Linked DNA regions of Sus scrofa. The protein of the gene in region 1 interacts with the protein of each later gene in a biochemical or structural test. Links are inferred from orthologs where the notes say so. Each region holds a gene or a part of one and is shown in the gene's direction. Other genes may lie near its edges.

Region 1 (7,544 bases):
GGATGGCAAGAGGCCCAGGTCCACCCAGAAAGCTCGATACTTTAATATTATGTCCACTGTTAACCAAAAGGATCTTGAACTGATGTGAAATAATTTGAACCAGATATAAAAATGGGGCCATTGGGATTCCTACTGTGGTGCAACAGGATCGGTGGCGTCTCTCCAGCCCCAGAACACAGGTGGCGTTGCTGCAGCTGTGGTGTAGGTTGCACCTGTATGCTGTGCGGACAACCAACAAAAAGGAGTGGGGACCATTAATACAACTTAAACTTTAGAAGAAAATGAAACTTTTAAATGTTATTTTAATGTTTGAATAGGTAATACATGATTAACAAGAAAAATGTTGGAGTTCCCATCATGGCTCAGTGGCTGGCGAATCCAACTCGTGTCCTTGAGGGCACAGGTTTGATCCCTGGCCTCGCTCAGGGGGTTAAGGATCCGGCATTGCCGTGAGCTGTGGTGTAAGTCACAGACGAGGCTCGAATCCCATGTTGTGGCTGTGTTGTAGGTCAGCAGCTGCAGCTGATTCAACCCCTAGCCTGGGAACCTCCATATGCTACAAGTGCAGCCCTAAAAAGCGCCCCCCCCAAAAAAAAAGAAAGGATACTCATTGAGATGTCTTCTTCCCACCCCAGCCCCATACCCCCAACCCCCACCATAGGTAAACATTTTTATTCATTTCTTGCCTAAGCTTCCCACGTTTCTTTGGAAATACAAACCCATTCAGCCTGTGTTCTGAATCCTGACCCCCTACTTTCTTGCATACAATATATATTTCTTACATATATACTGTTTTGTACTTTGCTTTTTTCATGATAGTATGTCTTGGAGATGGATCCGTATCAGAACATGGAGGAACCCTTGTTCTGGTTTACGGCTGCATAGCACTCCGTTATGTGGGGGGAGTCATTTAGTCTGCTGCTTGACCCTTGGGCTGTTTCCAGGATTTTGCTATTTGCATTTCAATGCTCCCATGAGTGACTTGGATATTAGTCATTTCGTTCTGCAAACCCCTTCATAAAGAGAAGGGTGTGTGGCCCTGGAATCCCTAAGGAGGACCAGGAAGCTGCTGACTGCGCAGTGCCCCAGCTCCCGAGGAAGAGGCGATCCAGCTGAAGCTCCCTCCTGCCTTTTGCAGGTTATGTTCACGGAGGAGGATGTGAAGTTTTACCTGGCCGAGCTGGCTTTGGGCCTGGACCACCTGCACAGCCTAGGCATCATTTACAGAGACCTGAAGCCTGAGAAGTGAGTGAAGGCCCAGCCCCGCCCGGCCTCCCTAGGGTTCAGAGGCAGGCCCTGGGGTCTCTCCTAGGACAGAGCCAGCCTAACAGGGGTGGGTGTGACTCTCCCCAAGAAAGTGTCCCTGTCTTGGGCTGCCCCATGAATGGGTGGGTGGAGCAGAGTGGGCTGCCTGATCACTAGCGCTGCCATTACCAAGGACCAGTCTCCTCGGTAGCTGGGTGTTACCTACCATTTTGCTACCCTGGTGTGACATCTGAGATGCCCCCATTAAAGGATATTCCTTGATATAATCCTTTCTAGAATTTTCCTTAACATCTAAATATCCTTAAGTGGAACTTGGGAGCCAGAGGCAGGTGCTGAGGTAGAATGAGACTTGGCTTTTAGAGTGAGGCAAACCCAAATTCAAATCTTGCCTCCACCAGCCTGGCTCTATGACCAGGGGGAGCTATTTCACCCCCCTGAGCCTTAGTTTCCCCATTGTTAAAAAAATGGAGCCATGAGGGAGTTCCCGTCGTGGCGCAGTGGTTAACGAATCCGACTGGGAACCATGAAGTTGCAGGTTCGGTCCCTGCCCTTGCTCAGTGGGTTAAGGATCCGGCGTTGCCGTGAGCTGTGGTGTAGGTTCCAGACGCGGCTCGGATCTGGCGTTGCTGTGGCTCTGGCGTAGGCCCCGGGCTACAGCTCCGATAGACCCCTACCTAGCCTGGGAACCTCCATATGCCAAGGGAGCGGCCCAAAGAAATAGCAAAAAAAGACCAAAAAAAAAAAAAAATGGAGCTATGAAAGTACCTACCTCACACAGTTGTTTCAAGAATTAGCAAGAGGGAATTCCCATTATGGCTTAGCAGTAACAAACCCAACTAGTATCCATGAGGACTCGGGTTCGATCCCTGGCCTCACTCAGTGGGTTAAGAATCTAGCATTGCCATGAGCTGGTGTATAGGTCACAGATGCGGCTCGACTCCTGCATTGCTGTGGCTGTGGCATAGGCTGACAGCTACAGCTCTAATTCGACCCTAGCCTGGGAACTTTCCATATGCTGCGGGTGTGGCCCTAAAAAAAAAAAAAAAAAAGAAGAATTAACAAAAAGGTAGGCAACACACCTGCACAGCACCACCAACACCCGCTCCACCCACCCATTCATCAGATGGACCTGGGTGGACCACCTGCTCTGGGCTGGGCCCAACCTCCACAGCCCCCAAGGTGTCACCAGCACCCTCCAAGGGCCCATGGCTGAGGGGTCTTGACTCCCATCTCTCCATTGCAGCATCCTTCTGGATGAGGAGGGCCACATCAAGCTCACTGGTGAGTGGAGGGCGCTTGCCCCTCAGGCTTCAGGGGAGGGCAGGATGGGCTCTTGATGGGCCTGGGCTGAGTCCTAGGGGATCTGTTCTTCCTGAGAGGCGGTGCCAGGCACTTGGATGTGCTCAAAAGCCCGGGACCCAGACCTAGAAAGTCCTGGGTTTAGATCCCAGCTCCCCACTGTGTAACCTTGGGCAGGTCGCCTAACCTCTCTGGGCCTCAGCTTCCACCTGAGTGTCACGGAGGTGATGCTCTCAGGCCTCTGGGCAAGGGGGTGGGCGGCAGGGAGGGGCGGGAGGAAGGCAGGGGGTCCTGAGGATGTGTGCTCTTGCCCTCCTTGCCACAGACTTCGGCTTGAGCAAGGAGGCCATTGACCACGAGAAGAAGGCCTACTCCTTCTGCGGAACAGTGGAGTACATGGCCCCCGAGGTCGTCAACCGCCAGGGCCACACCCACAGTGCAGACTGGTGGTCCTATGGGGTGCTGATGGTGAGTGCCCAGGCCTTGGGCCTCATTTCCCCATCTAAATAGTCAGGGGTCATGATGGTCTCTAAGGCTCTTTTGTCCTCTCACAGCTGAGCTGGCCTCACCCCCACCCAGCTGCAGTTTCCTTCCTTAAAAGGATTCCAGGCTTGGCGTTCCCATCGTAGCTCAGTGGTAACAAACCTGACTAACATCCATGAAGATGCGGGTTCAATCCCTGGCCTCACTCAGTGGGTTAAGGATCCAGTGTTGCCGTGAGCTGTGAGGTAGATCACAGACATGGCTTGGATCCCGTGTGGCTGTGGCTGTGGTGTAGGCCAGCAGCTGCAGCTGTTTCGACCTCTAGCCTGGGAACTTCCATATGCGTGGGTGTGGCCCTGAAAAGACAAAAAAAGGGGGGAGGGTTCCAGGCTTGGCCCCATCTGGGGTGCCCCTAGCCTGGGGCCCATAGTGTAGTTCCTGGTGATCTGATTGACAGAGGGACAGACACAATTCTTGATCCAGGTGAACCTCCAGCTGGCAGGCAGGCATCCTGGGAATGGAGCTGAGTGGCCCGGGTGGGAGGAGGCGGCGGCATGGGAAATGGGACCAGAGCCTGATCAGACCCTTGTCCTCTGCAGTTTGAGATGCTGACGGGCTCCCTGCCCTTCCAGGGGAAGGATCGGAAAGAGACCATGACACTGATTCTGAAGTAAGATGCAGCCGCTCTGTGATTCCTCAGTCTCCCCTACGCCCGGCTTCCGTTTAGGTGCCAGAGTTCAGATTCCCCATTAATGAGACACTCCTGGGTCAAGCATTATGCTTTCTAGGGCTTTCTTTTCACCAACCAGGGCCCGTGGGAGGGGAATCCCTGAGTCTTTGGGAGGGGAGTTCGTGGATGGCTTGTCTGGAAGGGGCTGGAAGCTAGACCTGGACAGAGGCGGGAGGCGAGACGGGGCCTCCGGGGCGGGGCTCAGCCCTGACGAGGCCTGCGGGCTGTTTCAGGGCGAAGCTAGGCATGCCCCAGTTTCTGAGCACGGAAGCCCAGAGCCTCCTGCGGGCCCTGTTCAAGCGGAATCCTGCCAACCGGCTCGGTAAGCAACCCCTGCTCAGGGGAGGGGAGCAGGGTACAGCTGCGGCCCAGGCCACGGGGCCACATCTGGGGCTGAAAGGGGCCGTTGTCCTTTGTGTGGGCAGACAATGCCGCCGGCCACCCTGCCTTCTGGCTCCATGCGTGGCGTTTGGGGCAGGGGGGTGACCTGTGTGTAGGGGGAAGGCAGGAACTGAGTCATCTCCACTCGCCCTGGGGATGAGGACAGAGGCCCCCACACAGCTCCTCCGCCAAGGCTGCTGGCACGAGAGACGGAGCATGAGCTCGGGCGTCAGAGGCTCGGCTCCCCATGATAGGTCCCCCTGCCCGACACACAGTGGTCCCTCTACAAATATGTGTTCAGCGAATGAGCGCCATTTATGAGCGAAGTGACTCAGGGGAGTTAACTTCACCCCCTGGAGCCCCAGTCCTTGTCTCCGTGGGCGACAATGGTCTCAAGCTTTGTCGATTCAATGAGGTTGCATAAACATGCCTTTAGTAGCTGCTCAGTGTGTGCTGACTCCTTGGCTCCTGGGTTCACCTGGACCATGACCATGCTGGGCTCTGAAAGGTCCCACCCAGGTCCCTGGGCTTAAGCGGAGTGAGAGGCTGTGTGGTGGCTGCCAGGGGTAAGGGGACAAGAGCAGGAGATGAGGCCTGGGTTGGGAGGGAGGTGGGGGCCCCCTGCAGATCTTGGAACAGGCTCAGCCTTTGTCCTGTGTGGCCTTGGACGAGTTGCCGGGCCTCTCTGGGCCTGCCTTCTCCCATCCGCACCCTGGAACTTGATAATAAAGGGGCTCCAGGAAGTGGAAAATGCTGGGGGGCAGCAGACCTTGGGATGATGGCTGGATGGAGCCCGGCCACCCCCATGTTCCAGCCACTGGTCCTAGACCACAGTGAGGCTGCTCGGCGGACAGGGCGGGTGTCTGGGGCTTGGAGCACCCAGGGACAGACCCCTCATCTGGGCTCTTTCAGGCTCGGGCCCTGACGGGGCCGAGGAGATCAAGCGGCATGTCTTCTACTCCACCATTGACTGGAACGTGAGTGTCTGCCCCCCCCCTCCCCCGAGCCCCACCACAGCAGGGCTTCGACTGTGGCGGGAGGGGGCTTTTATTGACGAGGGCCTCTGCTTGGCCCAGAGGTGACGGCATGGCCTTGGAGGCACAGGCTGGCCTCCCGAGGGCCAGCACTTGTGCCCTGTCTGCGTAGCCTGTGCTCTAGGCCCTCGCTCCTCCTGCACGGGGCTGCTGGCGGGCTGTGGAGGGGCCGTGGTGAGCAGGCTGCCTGCTCCACCTTGCAGAAGCTGTACCGGCGTGAGATCAAGCCACCCTTCAAGCCGGCCGTGGCACAACCCGATGATACCTTCTACTTTGACACCGAGTTCACGTCCCGCACGCCCAAGGGTGCGTCCCTTGTCTGGTTTGTCTTGGGCTGGTACAGTGGGAAGCAGGGCGACAGGAGCTCCTGGGGACGAAGGGGTGGTCAGGGCTCTGGCAGGCCCAGGTGTGTGGGCAGACAGGCGTGTGGGTCTCTCACTCTTTGTCCCCATCTCATCCTGCCTGGCTGTCCCACTCCAGGGCTCTATGGGCCTCTTTGTGCCTGGCTGAGGGGGTGGGGGTGAGTGGGCGATTAAGGCCACAACAGAAAAGTCAGGACCCCTGCCCCGGGCCTCTTCAGCCACTGGGAAGACCAGACACAGTCACGTCAGGGCTAAAGAATCTGACCCAACAAACACGTGAGGTGGAGACCGTCTGGCAGAGCAAAGGTGACAACGCTCCCAGATCAGGGGCAAGCGTGGGAATCAGCTTTGGCTACTCTCACTGCTAGGCTTCAGTCTACTCATCTGGAGCGTGGGCCCAGTCACAGGCCCACTCAGTCAAGGGTGGTGGTCACCACTGGAAGCCAAGGAGGGGGCTTCTAGGAGGAAGCTTGGTAAATCCTAATCTTTTGGGGAGTTCCCGTCATGGTTCAGTGGTTAACGAATCCGACTAGGAACCATGAGGTTGTGAGTTCGATCCCTGGCCTCGCTCAGTGGGTTAAGGATCCGGCGCTGCTGTGAGCTGTGGTATAGGTTGCAGATGCAGCTCGGATCCCATGTTGCTGTGGCTGTAGCATAGACCTGTGGCTACAGCTCCGATTAGACCCCTAGCCTGGGAACCTCCATATGCTGTGGGAGCGGCCCTAGAAAAGGCAAAAAGACAAAAAGAAAAAAAAAAAAATCCTAACCTTTTGGTCAGGTATTGGTGAAGAGTATTCTTTCCGGAGGGCAGGTTTTAGTAGGAGGTGTATTTTTCTTTTCTTTTTTTAAAGGCTGCACCTGAGGCATATGGAGGTTCCCAGGCTAGGGTCGAATCAGAGCTACAGCTGCTGGTCTACGCCACAGCCACAGCAACACAGGATCCAAGCCACGTCTGCATCCTACACTGCAGCTCGTGGCAACGCCGGATCATTAATCCACTGAGCGAGGCCAGGGATCAAACCCTCATCCTACGGATGCTAGTCAGGTTTGTCTCCACTGAGCCACGATGGGAACTCCACAGGGGAGTTTTTCTCACTGTGGTTTGCACTCCTGTGGTGTCAGGGAGCTTAGCACTTCTCTGAGCAGTCTGCCCCATCTTTGTTTACCTGGCAAATATATAGCAGGTCCCTACTATGTGCCAACGATGGGAGGCACTGAGGGTGAACAAGCCAGAGCCAGGCCCTGCCTTCATATGGCTCAGGCTCTGGTGGCAAAAGAGACGTGGGAACCGCTGCTGGGGAGCACAAGGGGCTGGAGGAGCATCATGAGGCCCGGCTTCTCAGAGGACAGGGTCGAAGCCAAGCCTCAAAGGAAGGACAAGGAATGAGTTGTATAGTTAGCAGGAACAGCATGTGCAGTGGCACGGAGTCTCCTTGAAGGATCCAAGAAGCTTGGTGTGGCTGAGCTGTGGGGTTGGGGTTGGGGGAGGAGGGAGGAGGCTAAGATCACAGGCACCTCACTGCCAGGCTGAGGCTCTGGGCTGTCTCATGAGGGCAGACGGGAGCACGTGAGGGGCACAGGCAGGGGGTCGATTTAGGGTTGGGACCAGTCCTCTGCCTGCTGCACAGGAGATGGACCTGAAGGGGCAGACCAGAGGCGGGAGGCCTCCAGGAGGGCCTGAAGTGTCTTGGCCTGGGTGGGTGCTGGTGGATATGAGGGTCTTTTTTTTTTTTCTTTTTTGGCTTCCTCATGGCATAAGGCCTTCCCTGGGCCAGGGATCAGATCGGAGGCACAGTTGCCACCTATGCTCCTATGCCGTGGTGAGGGAACACCTGATCCCTAACCCACTGTGCCTGGGATGAATGTGTGTCCCAGAGCTCCAGAGATGCCACTGATCCCACTGCGTCACAGCAGAAACTCTGACATGAGGGTCTTTGTGTTCCTGGTGTGTCAGGGCTGGGCCGGGCTAAGCACACATGGACAGATGGG
Region 2 (6,998 bases), on another chromosome or scaffold:
CCCGCTGCTCCGACCCCGACCCCGGCCTCAGGCCCCCCTGCCGCAGCCGCCAGCCCTGGGACCCCTGGGGACGAGCTGTACGCGGCGCTGGAGGACTATCACCCGGCCGAGCTGTACCGCGCGCTCGCCGTGTCCGGGGGCACCCTGCCCCGCCGAAAGGTGCGTACCCCCCAACTCCCACGGCCCCCCAGCCCTCGGCGCCATCCGATGTCCCTTCCTCAGGGTCCGCGTAACCCGCAACAGCCCCCATCCGTGCCTGCCGATCCCTATGCACTTCTAGGGTCCCCGAGTGCCTCTCCATTCCTCACCAGCCCGCTGACCCCCACGACACGTTCAGATCCTGCTGGGTCCCCTCGGCCCTCTGCCCAGAAGGCGCAAGCTCCTCCACCCGCGGCCCCGGCCCCCCGCCGCCCCCGAGCTGGGCGGCTCTCCACTCCCAACGCGCCGCCGCCCCGGTCGCCCCTCTCCTTCCTGCCGCCTCCCCAGATCCCCTTCTCCTTCAGCACCCCCAGCCCCACCTCCCCAAGTCCGGTGTCTCGAGGCCCCCAGGACCCCTTGTCTGGGCTTCTTCAGTGGGAGTGGGGAGGCCTCGGGCTGGGGTCCCGCCTCTCGCCCAGACAAGTTGAGGGTCCGCCGGCCCCGGGTGGGGAGGAGGGCGGCGGACGCGCCGCGTGCCTTCTCTCCGGGGAAGTGAGAGCGGCGCCGCCAACTCCGAGAGCTCACCCTTCCGAAGGGACGCCCGGATTCCTGGGCTCGGGGCCTGCCCTGCGTCTGAGTGCGGGGCGTGAGGCCACCGCTCCCTGGACGTCAGCCGCCGCGACCGGACGCGGTGGGAGGGGAAGCCGGGCGCCCGCGGGGCAGGAAGGATGCGGGCCGCGCCCGCCCTCTGAGTGGCCCCCGCCGGCGGGCTCTTTCCTTTGGCCTGAGGGGGACCCGAGCGCTCTGAAAGGAGAACTCAAGACCCGGGTTCAGGAGAGGGGGCTGGTGGCCTTTCCCCTCTCAGCTCCCCCCACCCTTTCCCCTGGCTCCCCCCACCCCCAACACAATGAGCAGCTTGTTGAGAATTTGCATTTTATGAAAATCGGGTGGAAAACAAAGGGGTCTCTCTATGTTGCCCAGTCCTTCCCCCCCTGGCCCCTTTGGGAATTGTCCCCACCCCTGAGGCCCATCTTTGGTTCCCAAGAAAGAGGGTTTCCTTCTCTTTCCTCCTTGGGGCAGCCTGAGGGGAGGTTTAACAAGGACACTGACCAGGAAGGCCTTGGGCTGTTTGGGGCACACAGAACAACGATGGACCTGGGCCTGGACTTTTTCCCAGGAATAATAATTTAGGGAGAGAGACTAGTTTTTCAGGGACCCAAAAGAAGTAGGGACCTTCCGCTCTGTCATCCCCCACACCAAAAACAAAACAAAGCAGAAAAACCAAAAAACACCCAAACTCCCAATCTCTCTCCTTGAGAATAGTGAGACTTAAGGACAAGTTTGAGATCTAAGTGGGGTTTTTTTGTCCCAGAAAACAACAAAATATATGGCAAAATTGAAAGGCCCGGGTGGAGCTAAACACAGCTGCCACTTGCAGCTGTATCCAGAGCTGGTCCCTGAAAAGGTCTGTACTTTGGGGTCCCTCTGTCCCCTGCCTTTCCATGCTCAGGCTGAAACTGTCAGCCAGCCCTCCACACCTGGCCTCTGACCCCAGCTCTCCCAAGCCACGCTCTGCAGCTGATAAATTAGGAGGAGAGACCCATGTGGTCCTGGGGGCTCTGGAGTATCTAGACAGGCAAGCCCAGGGGCCTCCTGCCCCTCTCTGAATAACACCTGAGACGAACCCTTGCTTCAGCTGGTAGGGTCTAGGGCTCCTGAGCCCCTGTAGATACACGCCCTGGGGGTGGAGTCTCTCCTATCTAGATTAATGACCCCCCCACACACCAGACTGGGAACCAGCACAGGGCTTCATGCACCCAGCACCCATGAGGGCTGTTGTGTCTCCACAGTCCTGGTTATGGGGGTGGGTAAAGCTTGGGGAGAAAGTTATGGGGATACTGACAGTGGCACTCTGCAGGTAGCTACACCAGCAGGAGAGCAGATGTGGAGCTGGGGCCGGGTAGACGGGCAACAGGGACTGGGATGCTGGGTCTGAGGCCAGAGCCCAGGCGAGGAGCTCCCCAAAGGCGGGCTCTCAGCATCTGCTTCAAGACGGCTCCCTCTCACCTGCTCCTTCCTGATTCTCCTTCCCACCCAGGGCTCCGGATTCCGCTGGAAGAGTCTCAGCCAGAGTCCTGAACAGCAGCGGTGAGTCACCGTTACCCCAGCCCCTAGACGGGTCCAAAAGGGTGAGGTGCTGGGGTGGGGGCAGCACGACACAGCATCTCAGGCCAGCCAGTGGGGAGTCACGCTCCTGCCCTTTCAGCACGGCTCCCTCACTGAGAATGGGGGGCAGGTGGGGGTGTGGGCTGTGTCAGGGGGGTGGCAAAGGAAGGAGGTAGGCACTTTTGAGTCATCAGGTGCTCCTCAAGCCGCCCCCAGTCCCTGCCAGGTCCCCCTCCCTGGAGAGAGCTGCTCTGGGGGGGGGGGAAGCAGGAGAGGTCTTTGGGGCTCAACCGAGCCCTCCCAGCCCCAGCAAACCTCGAGGGCCCAAACCATGTTCCAGCTGCTCAAGTGGAGCGGCCCCTGCCTCCAGAATTTCAGTCCTCTGCTGGTCCCATCCTGGGGCAGGGGTGCCTCTTAGGAAGGCTTTGAGATGAGGGCAGAAGGAGGTGCTGACTCTGGCCCCACTCTGCCCATGTCCCATCTTGATTCAGGCCTGGCTTCTTCCAGAATGGATCAGCAGACTATGGCCTGCTGGCCAGGTTGGCCTGACTGAGCCTTGAACTAAGAGTCCTTTTTATATTTCTAAAGGGCTCTAAAAACAAAAACAAAGAACCATGTAGGACAGAGGCTGTCCACTATTTTAGGTCTCAAAAAGAAAGGCTAAAATGTTTTCTGTCTGACCCTTTGCAGAAAAAGGTTGCCAGTCCTTCTAGAAACCCAGAGAGCCCTGGAGTAGATACAGCAGTCACCCTGCTCCCCACCCCAACACACACAGAGGGGGAAAAGCCTGCATTCAAAGCAGGGAGGAGCTCAGGCTGGGGTTGGGAGTTGCTGCTCTGCTCTTGGGCGGGAGGGTATGCGGGGCAGGTTTGGGCCCTGAGAGGCCTGGGTCTCCAGGGCCTTTCTGAGGCCACGAGGCGGCTCGAAGGGGCCTTAACTCTGCCTCTGGCAGGCCGGGAAGGAAGGGGATGGGGGTGGGCAGAGGAAACTCTGGGCTCCCCCAGCAGGCGAGGATCTGGAGCAACTCCAGACCATTGTGTCCAGTGGGCAGGCCGTCAGTCAGTGCGGGAAGGGGCGGCCTCGAGGCTCCCCTCCCCCCTCCCGAGCCCTCACATCTGGTGGGCTGGCCCCACCGCAGCTGGGAGGAGCAGCTGTGGTCTGGGCCCGAGCCTCGTGACCGGCCTCTGGGGGTGGGGCCAGCCCTCTCCCCAAGGCTCCGGAGCCGCCAAGGAGCAGAGGACGCCCTAGGCTGGGGCCGAAGTGGGGGCCTCAGCTAGCCAGCAAGTGGTATTCTGGGGCTCACTGGAAAGCTGGGCGTGTGGCCCAAAAACTCAGCTAGCCCCCCGGGCCCCGGGGGCCAGGCATTCCTGTGCCTCCCTCTCCAGAGGCTGGATTGATTCTGTGTGGCTCCCTGAAGCTACCTACGGTCAGCTACACATGGGGAAGGACGTGCCGGCAACCTGTGACCCGTGTGACATGTCTCTGGGACAGTGAGCCCGGCCCAGATGTTCCGGAGCAGACCCCAGCATCAGTGGGGGCCACGCTCTGGGACCACCCAGCTCCTTTTAATCCTGACAGTCTTTCCTGTGTCTCCTGCAGGAAGGTTCTGACTCTGGAGAAGGAGGAGAACCAGACCTTTGGCTTTGAGATCCAGGTGGGAGAAGCGGGGTGCTGAGGAGGGGAGGCGCGGGGAGGCCAGTCTGCGGGATGGGTGGATCCTGTCCCAGCCTTGGGCTGAGGGCCCCCTGTGTGTTACAGACTTACGGCCTCCACCACCGCGAGGAGCAGCGTGTGGAGATGGTGACCTTTGTCTGCCGGGTTCATGAGTCCAGTCCTGCCCAGCTGGCTGGGCTCACACCAGGTGAGGCCCGAGCCCAGGACGCAGGGCTCTGGGAGGGCGGTGTGACCCTACTCCCAAGCGGAGGGGGCAAGAAATCTCATCCGAGGAGTTCCCCTTGTGGTGCAGCTGAAACGCATCCAACTAGTATCCATGAGGATACGGTTCGATCCCCGGCCTCACTCAGTGGGTTGAGGATCCAGCGTTGCCGTGAGCTGTGGTGTAGGTCGCAGACACGGCTCGGATCCCATGTTGCTGTGGCTGTGGTGTAGGATGGCGGCTACAACTCCGATTTGACCCCTAGGCTGGGAACCTCCATAAGCTGTGGGTGAGGCCCTAAAAAGAAAAAAAAAAAAAAAAAAAAAGAAATCTCTTCTGAAACCACTCCCCCTTTCCTCCTCCTCTTTTGAGAAGACCAGAAAGAAAGAATGGATTGGATCCAGGCAAATGTGCCATTTACTGCGTGATCTTTAGCAGTCCCATCTGCAGACTGGGGGCAGTGACCTGTCCTCACCTCGGTGTAGTGAGGGGATTCCCTGGGCACAGAACCGAGCCCTGGTAAAGGCACATGCTGCTGCTGTCCTGCCTCCTCCTGGCCATCTGGCCATCTGGCCATCAGGCATGGACAGGAGTTGGGGAAGGAACAACATTCCATTAGAGCCGCTTAATACTGGGGATCAGGGCCTTACTTGGCCCCAACCTGGCCCAATACTTCCTCTAGCAAGGAAATGGTGCCTCCAGTAAGAGACCCTTGGGACTGGCCAGATCTAGAGTCCCAAGTCCCAGGAAGGGGCAGCCTGAGACCACAAGAACTGACCTCCTGTCACCATTCTCTTCCCTAAGCCCTCACCTCCTGGCCCGTTGCTCAGCAGCCCCAGGGAGCTAGAGGGGTTCATTGCAATTTTGCAAAGGAGTTTCAGCTCCACTCTCCCTTCTAATCTCAAGGGTAGCCATAGCAGGGATCCCCACCGCTTTTCCGGATGGGAGATGAGCCCTCAGAAATGGTGGCCAGCCCTGCCTGAGCTCAGGAGGCTCCACGGTGGCCCAGGGCATCAGAGGCTGAGGCCACTTATGCCTGGGGCCAGTGTTAGTTCCCAGCTGGTTGCTACTCACCCAGCCCCCTTCCTGTCTGCTGGGTCTCATGACAGCCTGTGGGCTGAACCAAAATAACCAGCTCTGGGGGCAGCCCAGGCTTGAGGGGAGGGCTCAGCCCTTGAAGACGGCGCTTCCTGAGGGTGAGGTGGGGCGGATGGGTGGGGGGGGAGGTGTCCGAGGCCCTGGCCCCTGTGCTGGGGTGTTGGGCCTGGACCAGATCTCCTCAGAACCATGAGTGGGGGTAGGGAGTACAGGCAAATTCTATGGGGTTATTACCCCTAACCTTTCTGGAGAAGGTAAGGGGCTGAGATTCTCCCACGTGCCCCACGGAGCAGATGCCAAGCCCCTCTCTGCCTGGCAGGGGACACCATTGCCAGTGTCAATGGGCTGAATGTGGAAGGCATCCGGCATCGAGAGATTGTTGACATCATCAAGGCGTCTGGCAACGTTCTCAGGTAAGTCCAGGTGCCTCGGTCCCTGGCAGGGGAGGGGGGGACAGGGGACCTGAGCTCAGCCTCCCTCAGAGTTTCCCCACCCCCTGGGCTCACTCAGCCTTCGATTCCCCAACCTCCTCAGACTGGAAACTCTGTACGGGACATCAATTCGGAAGGCAGAGCTGGAAGCTCGTCTGCAGTACCTAAAGGTAAGGCAGCCCAGAGACTTGCTGCCGCCACCACCTCCTCTTCCCAAGCCCCTGCCCCTGCAGGCCCGGGTCTCTTTTAGTTTATCTTCCTGGACCTCCTTTTAACCTAAAGGTTTCTTCTGTGTACTCCCTGATCCCTCAGTCTGCAGCCACCTCCCCCCCTAGTTGCTTGCTAGCTCCTGACAGCGAGGCGGGGGGTGTCTCTTGCAGCAAACCCTGTATGAGAAGTGGGGAGAATACAGGTCCCTAATGGTGCAGGAGCAGCGCCTGGTGCACGGTGAGTAGAGGAGGGCTGTGCCCGGTCACTGGCACCCCTACCATACCGTCTTCCCTGCTTCCCGCTCCAAAGTTAAAGAAAGCTGCTACTACCGGTGCAGCGCTGTAACATTTTTAGGTAATCCTTATACCTGTGCTCTGAGGAAAGTGCTAGATCCCGCCATCTCCATTTTACAGATGGGAACACCGAGGCTCAAAGAGCTTGTTTCAGACCCCTTGGCGGCTCTTGTGTCATCAGTGGGCCTCATAAAGCTCTGAGTGTCAAAGATCCGCTTGAGGGAGGTGGGGGCTCAAGGTTGTGCCCCGCCCACGGGCCACGCAGACGGTCAGGAAGGAAGGAGCCAAGGTCTCCTGCCCTCGCCCTCTGACGGTCCTCCCTCGTGTCCTCCGCCCCGCAGGCCTCGTGGTGAAGGATCCGAGCATCTACGACACGCTGGAGTCGGTGCGCTCCTGCCTGTACGGCGCCGGCCTGCTCCCGGGCTCGCTGCCCTTCGGGCCCCTGCTGGCCGCGCCCGGGGGTCCCCGCGGGGCCGCGCGGCGGGCCGGGGGCGACGCGGACGACGCCGTCTACCACACGTGCTTCTTCGGGGGCGCCGAGCCGCCCGCGCCGCCACCGCCGCCCCCCGCGCGCGCGCCCGGCCCGGGCCCCGCCGCCGTCTCGGCCCCGGGGTCCCGGGCGCTGCTGAGCCGCAGCGCCAGCGTGCGGTGCGCGGGCCCGGGGGGCGGCGGCGGGGGCGGGGGCGCGCCGGGCGCGCTCTGGACTGAGGCCCGCGAGCAGGCCCTGTGCGGCCCGGGCCTGCGCAAGACCAAGTACCGCAGCTTCCGCCGGCGGCTGCTCAAGTT
Region 3 (7,544 bases), on another chromosome or scaffold:
AGGCTGTGGCATTGCTCACATTCTCCATCTTTGGCCGGGTTCTAATGAGAACCCTGCTCTGGCACTGAAACGTACACTTGGACTTGACTTGGTCTTGACTGTGACATGACAGCCATCAAGTCATGTCTAAAATTCTACAGCCAGCACTTAAAGTGAGAACTGCCTGTAGTCAGAAACATCCCTGCACATTCTTTCTGTCACATTTGAGGTAGCATAAATGCGGTCTTGTGTATATGCAAATAGTTCCCGTGTACACTGCCAAGCTGGACCACATGCTGCACAGAAGCAAGGCAGCACATAGCAGCCCAGATGGTCAAAGCATTTCACCCCCAAAATAACCATTTACCAAACTCTTAAGTCAGACACTCCTGCTCATATGCGAGGTTACTCCTTTCTGTAATACTAAGTCTTTATAAGTTTAACACATGTTAAAGACTTTGGCAGTAGTGAGAATTAACAAAGATTTAGGCAGGATAAAGATTATATCTGCACTCGGGTGAGAGGTTGAGTTCTGATAGGACTGGGTAGATTAAATATACAAAGGATGTGATTGCTGGGGTGGGTATGGTTTTATAGATGTTTCAGATACACAGTTAGAAGATAGACTGTCAACACCTGGAGAAGATACTTGGGACCGTTTGTAAACTTGTGCCCTGAAAGTCGTTAGGTAACTTTGCCCTGAGACATGGTCCCAAATGTACTGAGCAGCAGCCTTTGGATCTGATGGTTATAAGCTCCCTGACAAGTTCAGAAGTGGCATCGGCAGCAATGGTGGGTCAGAGGCCGTCATAGACACTAAACAGGTAGAAGCACCACCCGCACCCACCCCAGTTCTGGGCAGGGGTTTAGGAATTTGAGGCCAGAGATGGGTTGAATACCTCGCTTGTTGGTGGGAACGTTCCTCGCTTCTGGGTACCAGTAACCTCCATTGTATGAGGTTTGTTGTGACACCAAAGTGACCCATGGGCACTGGCGAAAGTGTTTGGAGTTAGTCTGTGTCGGAATTGTTCTAACAGACTTCAGGGGGTGAGTTCAATAGGGAATCAGCTGTTAGTATGGTTTCTAATCCTGCAGACGAACCCTCAAGACCCAGGGAGGAGCGGCATTTTGGGGCCTCCGGCAGCTCAGAGAGACTTGAGAAATGGAGACCCAGCCATTTGGCTCCTTCATGGCAGCAACCTGCTGTGCTCTTAAGAGCCCTCCAGACTCTCCAGGCCGTCTGTGGTCCTAGAGGCAGAGCAGGATGTAGATGAGTAATAATGTCAGCAAAGAACCAGCCCAGCAGGGCCACGGGGGGAGGCACCATCCTGGGGCAGCTAGGGGTCAGAGATGGCGGCTGTCACAGGGCTGGTGCCCTGCAGGACTCAAAAAGAGCAGCACCCAGTCGTCAGCATCTCGCCAGGCCCCACAGACCCTCTGTGGTCAAGCCTGGCGGGCCAGGGAGCAAGTTCCTGCCCATCAGTACACAGGCCCCTGTCAGCACCCTCCTGAGTCATCTGCTCCCAGGAGGGGCCTGGAAGCCCAGAAAGGATGCCTTCAAGATAAGAATGGAAGAAACCCACAACCCACATCACAACTAGAGGAGTAGGAATCCAACAGCAGGTAGAATTTCTGAAAGGCAGTGTGGAGAATGAAAGAGTGTGAAGGATCCCTGGCCTGCGAACTTCCACGGGCCGCAAGCATGGCCAAAAAAGGGGGGGAAAAGAAAAACAAAAAAAACTGTGTGAAGGTGGAGCTTGTAAAAGATCTCGTAGAAGGAGAGAGATCCACCTCAGGCAGAGTCCGAGGCAGGACATGAACTCCCAGCCTCTGTTCCAAAGCAGAGGGTGGGAGTTCCCTGGTGTCCTAGCAGATGAGGATTCAGCGTTGCCACTGCTGTGGCTTGTAGTCACTGCTGTGGCTCGGGTTCAGTCCCCAGCCCAGGAACTTCTACATGCCACAGACTCAGTAAAAAAAAAAAGTCAAAGCAGAGGGCAAGATGGGCTGGCCACAAGACGGCCCAGGGGCAGGGAGGGTGGGCCCTTGTGGTCCCTGATGAGGGACTTCAGTGTCCACAGCTTTCCTGTTGAGGCCTCAGGGTCTTTGGCATCTGGACACCCCACAAGTCTGATGGTTAGTCCCAGATTTCGCCTTCCTGTTAGGATCCCTTCCTGACCTGCCATGAGGAAAGTGAAGAGGCTATGCCCCTCACGCCTGGCTGGGGAGAAGGAGCTGTTAGCAAAAGCGGTTTGTCAGCTGAGCAGCACCTGCCGCCAGAGTTCGGGTCCTTTGGTTTGGTGTTTGGGGTGGATGCGTGCAGCACTGAGATGGGGCAGCAGATAAGAGCTGGCCAGATACAGGATCCCAAGGCCTCTTGCCCTTTCCATCCAGTTCACGCTCGGAGATTCGCCTGGGCCGCTCTGAGAGCCTGAAGGGCCGGGAGGAGATGAAGCGGTCTCGGAAGGCGGAGAACGTACCCCGCTCTCGCAGCGACGTGGACATGGACGCCGCCGCAGAGGCCGCCCGCCTCCACCAGTCAGCCTCGTCCTCTGCCTCCAGCCTCTCCACCAGGTGGTCAGGGCTCAGTGGCTCAGCCTGCTGATGGGGGGTCGGGGGGCAGCGGCAGAGGGTGGCTGAGAGTTGACATTCTCTCCACAGGTCTCTTGAGAACCCAACCCCTCCCTTCACCCCCAAAATGGGCCGTAGGTGAGTGAGGACAGGCCTGGTAGGTATCCGTGTCCCCGCCATGCTCGGCTGCCCCTGCCCTCTTCCAGTGGCTGGTCAGTGGTGCAGCTCCTCTTCGTGGCCTGCTGGTTTCCCATAGGCCCAGGGCAGGCAGGTGGGGCAGGAGAGGGAAGGAAAAACCCCACGTTTGCATTCTTCCTCCGAGTGATGCTGAGCTGCTTGTTCCCCCAGGAGTATTGAGTCCCCCAGCTTGGGGTTCTGCACAGATGCCCTCCTCCCCAACCTCCTGGAAGATGATCTGGGCCATCTGTCTGATCTGGAGCCAGAGCCAGATGCCCAGAACTGGCAGCACACAGTGGGCAAGGATGTGGTGGCTGGGCTAAGCCAGAGGGAGATTGACCGGCAGGAGGTCATCAACGGTGAGGACCAGCTCCACCTCCCCCCGTCCACCCCAACTCATGTGGGAACAGGTGCAGAGCATCTCAGATGCAGAGGGTGGTAGAGAACACAGGATGGGGCCCTGGGGGCAGGACTGTCGATGCTGCGGTTCTCGCCAGCCCTGGGGAGAGAGGAGTTGATGCGCCATCTGAAACCAGCACCAAAGGTATAGGGGTTCAGAGGTCTCAGTTGTGACTCTAGATCCTTGCTAATTGGTTTTCTTCCCACCTCTCTGCCCCTCCTCGTCACTACCCCCGCTCAGAGCTGTTTGTGACAGAGGCTTCCCATCTGCGCACACTCCGGGTCCTGGACCTGATCTTCTACCAGCGGATGAAGAAGGAGGGCCTACTGCCCCGGGAGGAGCTGGCCCGGCTCTTCCCCAACCTGCCCGAGCTCATCGAGATCCACAGTGAGGAGCCCGCCCCGCCTCCCCCTTCCCTGGCCAGCCTTCAGGTTCCTGCTCTGGTCTCGCCCGCCCCCACCCCCTCCCTGAGCAGATAGGCCCCGCCAGTCCTCTTTGGTGGGAGAACCTGATGTTCAGCCTGAAGCCAGCATTCCAGCTCCCCCATAAGTGAAATGGCTTCCGGACCCTTCCCCATGGCACTTCTCTCATCGCAGAGAGCCCGGCCGGGCAGCTTCACCCCAGGCACTTGTGTCTCTTCTCTTCGCCCCAGATTCCTGGTGTGAAGCCATGAAGAAGCTCCGGGAGGAGGGCCCCATCATCAAAGAAATCAGTGACCTCATGCTGGCCCGGGTATGGCCACCAGGCCTGGAGGAGGCGGGGGGTGGGGGCAGGGGGTCCCAGGCAGGGGTATGAGGCCGAGTGGTGTCTGTTCTGCCTCTCAGTTCGACGGCCCTGCCCGGGAGGAGCTCCAGCAGGTGGCCGCGCAGTTCTGCTCCTATCAGTCCATCGCTTTGGAGCTGATCAAGACCAGGCAGCGCAAGGAGAGCCGGTTCCAGCTCTTCATGCAGGTGCTGCTCGTTGCCTCTAAAAGCAGCCAGTTCAGTCACAGCGCAGCAGAGCTGAGGGGGAAAGTTAACTAATTCGCCCGGCGTCTCCCCAGCTCTCCTCCCGGCCCCAGCTCTGGGTGCCTTGGCCTCTTGTCTCTGCCAGGGAGGGTAACCCAGCAACTTGCTGCACCCTCCACACCCTCCCCCACCCTGCTGTTCAGAAACACCGACACATACCCACCCCCAGGACAGATGCTCTGGACTTGCCGTCAGAAGGGCCCCCTCACCATAGCCCTTCCTGGGTTGTTGTCGCCCCACCTCCACCAACCTCACTCTAAGTATTTAAGCAAGAAGCTGTCACCACTACTTCTCAGTGACCCTCTGGGATTAGGACCTGTCTGGCATTTGCACCCTCCTCCGGGTCCTGAGCCGCAGGCCAGCTCCTACCCTGGGCTCACATCTTTCTCTGTGCCTCCTTCCATCCAGGAGGCCGAGAGCCACCCTCAGTGCCGGCGGCTGCAGCTTAGAGACCTCATCATCTCCGAGATGCAGCGGCTCACCAAGTACCCTCTGCTGCTGGAGAACATCATCAAGCACACGGAAGGTAGGGCTCAGCTCAGACCCTGCTTCTAGCACCGACTTGCTCTGTGACCTGCGCAAGTCACTTGCCCTCTCTGGTCTTCAAGTCTTCATCCTTGTGTTGTCAGGGTCAGTCTCAAAAAAAGATGATTATAAATGTGCTTTGGGAGTTCCCCTCATAGCTCAGCAGTTAATGAACCCGACTAGCATCCATGAGGACTTGGGTTTGATCCCTGGCCTCGCTCAGTGGCTTAAGGATCCGCCGTGGCCGTGAGCTGTGGTGTAGGTTGCAGACGCAGCTCGGATCCCGCGTTGCTGTGTCTGTGATGTAGGCCAGCAGCTAACAGCTCCGATTCAACCCCTAGCCTGGGAACCTCCATGTACCACAGGTGCGGCCCTAAAAAGACAAAAGACCAAAAGTAAATAAATAAATAAATAAATGGCAAAAGTTAGGTGCTCAGTAGCAGGAGGAGGGAAGGGCCGCCTGTGGCCTCTGTGGGGCCTCTGCACATCAGTGGAAAGCCTCTGATCGGACGCGGGTTGGCACACAGGGGCGCCGCGGCTCCTCTGATGATCGTGGTCCCCCACCAGAGGCCTTGGCTGGATTTTAACCCCATCCATCCCCCCGCCGGACATCTCTGCGCAGTGCACTAAAGATACAGTTGTGCGTGGTTACTCCAGAGGAGTGCCAAAAAGAAAGTCTAGCCCCAGGTTGCCACTGTCCCTGGGATCCTGAGTACCTTTTCGCCACCTTCAAATTTGGGCCATCGATGTCTGGATGTAGAAGTGGGAAGAACTGCAGTCTGGTTTGAACAGGTGTTGCTAGAGGGAGGCACCATCATTACCGTTACCCAAAGCCCCCCTCCTTCCCACCCCCACCCCACAAAGCTCGTTGTGGTCTAGGCAGGAATTCCTGGGAGCCATCAGCAGTGCTCTGAAACCCAGGGACCCTCGGTATGAGTTATCCTTATACTGTTAGGCAAGGGTGGCGTGTCTACGCCCATACCTGCTGGTTTGTGACAGGCCAGTCACCATGGCTGTGGGTAGCCAGGTACTGTTGGGCCCTGACACACTTCTCAGGCAGGAGCCCTAACATCCTCCTGTCTACCTCGATGGGTAGGTGGCACCACTGAGCACGAGAAACTCTGCCGGGCCCGGGATCAGTGCCGAGAAATTCTCAAGTACGTGAACGAGGCTGTGAAGCAGACGGAGAACCGGCACCGTCTAGAGAGCTACCAGAAACGCCTGGATACCACCTCCCTGGAGAGGGCCAGCAACCCCCTGGCAGCGGAGTTCAAGGTAGGAGGCAGAGGCTGCAGCGCCGTCAGCCCCACGTGCACACGTACTTCTCGGGCACCCCTTGGGGCAGAATTCGGGTCAGGGCGGGGAGGAGGCCTGGGCTGTCTGTGATGGGATGGCGAAGGGGGTCCCTCTGACCATTGTCCCCCCATCCCTGAAGAGACAAGAGCCTACAGGCCCACCGTAAAGGCTACATGTGAGAACTCGGCCTGGGCGAGCAGGGGATGGGAGTAAACTCGAGGTGGAGGTGAAGGTCATTCGGGAGGGAATAAAGCCGAAGGGATGGGCAGGTACAGAGAGTCGTCTTAGGAGGGTAGACGCAGGTGGTAGGCAGTCGAGAGGCCCCAGCCAGAGCCATGACTGTGTCCCCCAGCACTTGGCACGTGACCTTTGACTTGTCTGCATCCCCACATAAGTGTGAGGCACAGACTGTTCTGGGCTTGCCACTGATTCCCAGCACCTTAGCACAGTGTCTGGCCCAGAGCACGTTCTCAGATACTTGGTGAATAAATGAATGGTGTCTCCTTAACAGAGCCTAGATCTTACAGCCAGAAAAATGATCCACGAGGGGCCCCTGACCTGGAGGATCAGCAAGGATAAGACCTTAGGTAAGTGCAGGGGGCCCGGGGCTGAGAGGGGATCTAGGCTGTCCCCTCTCCCGATCATAAGCCCTGTATCTGGGTCTCTGGAGAGGTAGTAAGGTGGCCGGAGAGGCAGCTTGAAACACCACTGGAGATGACGGCTCAGGGCTCCTTCAGCACAGCCTGGGGAGGGAGGACCAAAAACAGTGGAGTCGGAGGTCACCAGACTCCAGGGCTTCCTAGACCCTGGGGATGGTCGTCCAAGAGCCTCTGGTACCCCATGCGTCAATGAGGGGTGAGCAGGCAACAGGGAACACCTCACAAGCACCACATCCCTCCAGACCTCCACGTGCTGCTGCTGGAGGACCTCCTCGTGCTGCTGCAGAAACAGGATGAGAAGCTGCTGCTCAAGTGCCACAGCAAGACGGCCGTGGGCTCGTCGGACAGCAAGCAGACCTTCAGCCCCGTGCTCAAGCTCAATGCCGTGCTCATCCGCTCTGTGGCCACAGGTACCCGTGAGGAGATGGTCCCAGCTGGCCCAGGCCTCGGGGCCATGATCCCTGTTACTCATGTCCAGCGAGCACTCAGTGATACGGGGCTGATCTGGGGCCATACGAAACTTCCTGGCCCTATTTGTTCCTTTCCTCCTACGCTGGCCCATCTAAGCAGGAGGATGTGGTCCAGCATGGTGTGGGGTGACGGGTAGGATGGGGGGACCAAGATGAAGATGGACAACCTGATGCAGGATGGGATCCGGGCATCTAGGGTGGGCTGAGGAGGAAGAGTGAGCAGCGTTGGGCAGGGACAAGCCTTTCTGCGACAAGAGTGAAGGGCAGGAGTTCCCGTCATGGCTCAGTGGAAACAAATCTGACTAGTGTCTGTGAGGATGCAGATTCAATCCCTGGCCTCACTCAGTGGGTTAAGGATCCGGCACTGCTGTGAACTATGGTGTAGGTCTCAGACGCAGCTCAGATCTGGTGTGGCTATGGCTGTGGTGTAGGCCAGCAGCTATAGCTCCAATTCGACCCCTAG

What was found. The genes of interacting proteins can lie anywhere in the genome.
Region 2: the proteins of RPS6KA1 (region 1) and GRASP interact in a test that uses a peptide from one of them, tested with the Homo sapiens proteins (2 studies listed by BioGRID and IntAct). The link is inferred for Sus scrofa from reciprocal best matches to the Homo sapiens genes RPS6KA1 and TAMALIN.
Region 3: the proteins of RPS6KA1 (region 1) and ARHGEF11 interact in a test that uses a peptide from one of them, tested with the Homo sapiens proteins (2 studies listed by BioGRID and IntAct). The link is inferred for Sus scrofa from reciprocal best matches to the Homo sapiens genes RPS6KA1 and ARHGEF11.

What each region holds. Positions count from the first base shown.
Region 1 is NC_010448.4:83,924,989-83,932,532, forward strand, and holds part of RPS6KA1 (ribosomal protein S6 kinase alpha-1), read left to right. Parts: intron 1-1,138; coding exon 1,139-1,245; intron 1,246-2,509; coding exon 2,510-2,547; intron 2,548-2,890; coding exon 2,891-3,033; intron 3,034-3,647; coding exon 3,648-3,718; intron 3,719-4,011; coding exon 4,012-4,100; intron 4,101-5,071; coding exon 5,072-5,136; intron 5,137-5,396; coding exon 5,397-5,499; intron 5,500-7,544. UniProt on the Homo sapiens protein: Serine/threonine-protein kinase that acts downstream of ERK (MAPK1/ERK2 and MAPK3/ERK1) signaling and mediates mitogenic and stress-induced activation of the transcription factors CREB1, ETV1/ER81 and NR4A1/NUR77, regulates translation through RPS6 and EIF4B phosphorylation, and mediates cellular proliferation, survival, and differentiation by modulating mTOR signaling and repressing pro-apoptotic function of BAD and DAPK1.
Region 2 is NC_010447.5:17,358,262-17,365,259, forward strand, and holds part of GRASP (general receptor for phosphoinositides 1-associated scaffold protein), read left to right. Parts: coding exon 1-159; intron 160-2,236; coding exon 2,237-2,286; intron 2,287-3,903; coding exon 3,904-3,958; intron 3,959-4,062; coding exon 4,063-4,165; intron 4,166-5,597; coding exon 5,598-5,691; intron 5,692-5,812; coding exon 5,813-5,879; intron 5,880-6,089; coding exon 6,090-6,156; intron 6,157-6,553; coding exon 6,554-6,998. UniProt on the Homo sapiens protein: Plays a role in intracellular trafficking and contributes to the macromolecular organization of group 1 metabotropic glutamate receptors (mGluRs) at synapses.
Region 3 is NC_010446.5:93,144,171-93,151,714, forward strand, and holds part of ARHGEF11 (rho guanine nucleotide exchange factor 11), read left to right. Parts: intron 1-2,370; coding exon 2,371-2,550; intron 2,551-2,637; coding exon 2,638-2,685; intron 2,686-2,895; coding exon 2,896-3,083; intron 3,084-3,364; coding exon 3,365-3,511; intron 3,512-3,776; coding exon 3,777-3,856; intron 3,857-3,948; coding exon 3,949-4,074; intron 4,075-4,539; coding exon 4,540-4,657; intron 4,658-5,752; coding exon 5,753-5,931; intron 5,932-6,463; coding exon 6,464-6,539; intron 6,540-6,853; coding exon 6,854-7,021; intron 7,022-7,544. UniProt on the Homo sapiens protein: May play a role in the regulation of RhoA GTPase by guanine nucleotide-binding alpha-12 (GNA12) and alpha-13 (GNA13). Acts as guanine nucleotide exchange factor (GEF) for RhoA GTPase and may act as GTPase-activating protein (GAP) for GNA12 and GNA13.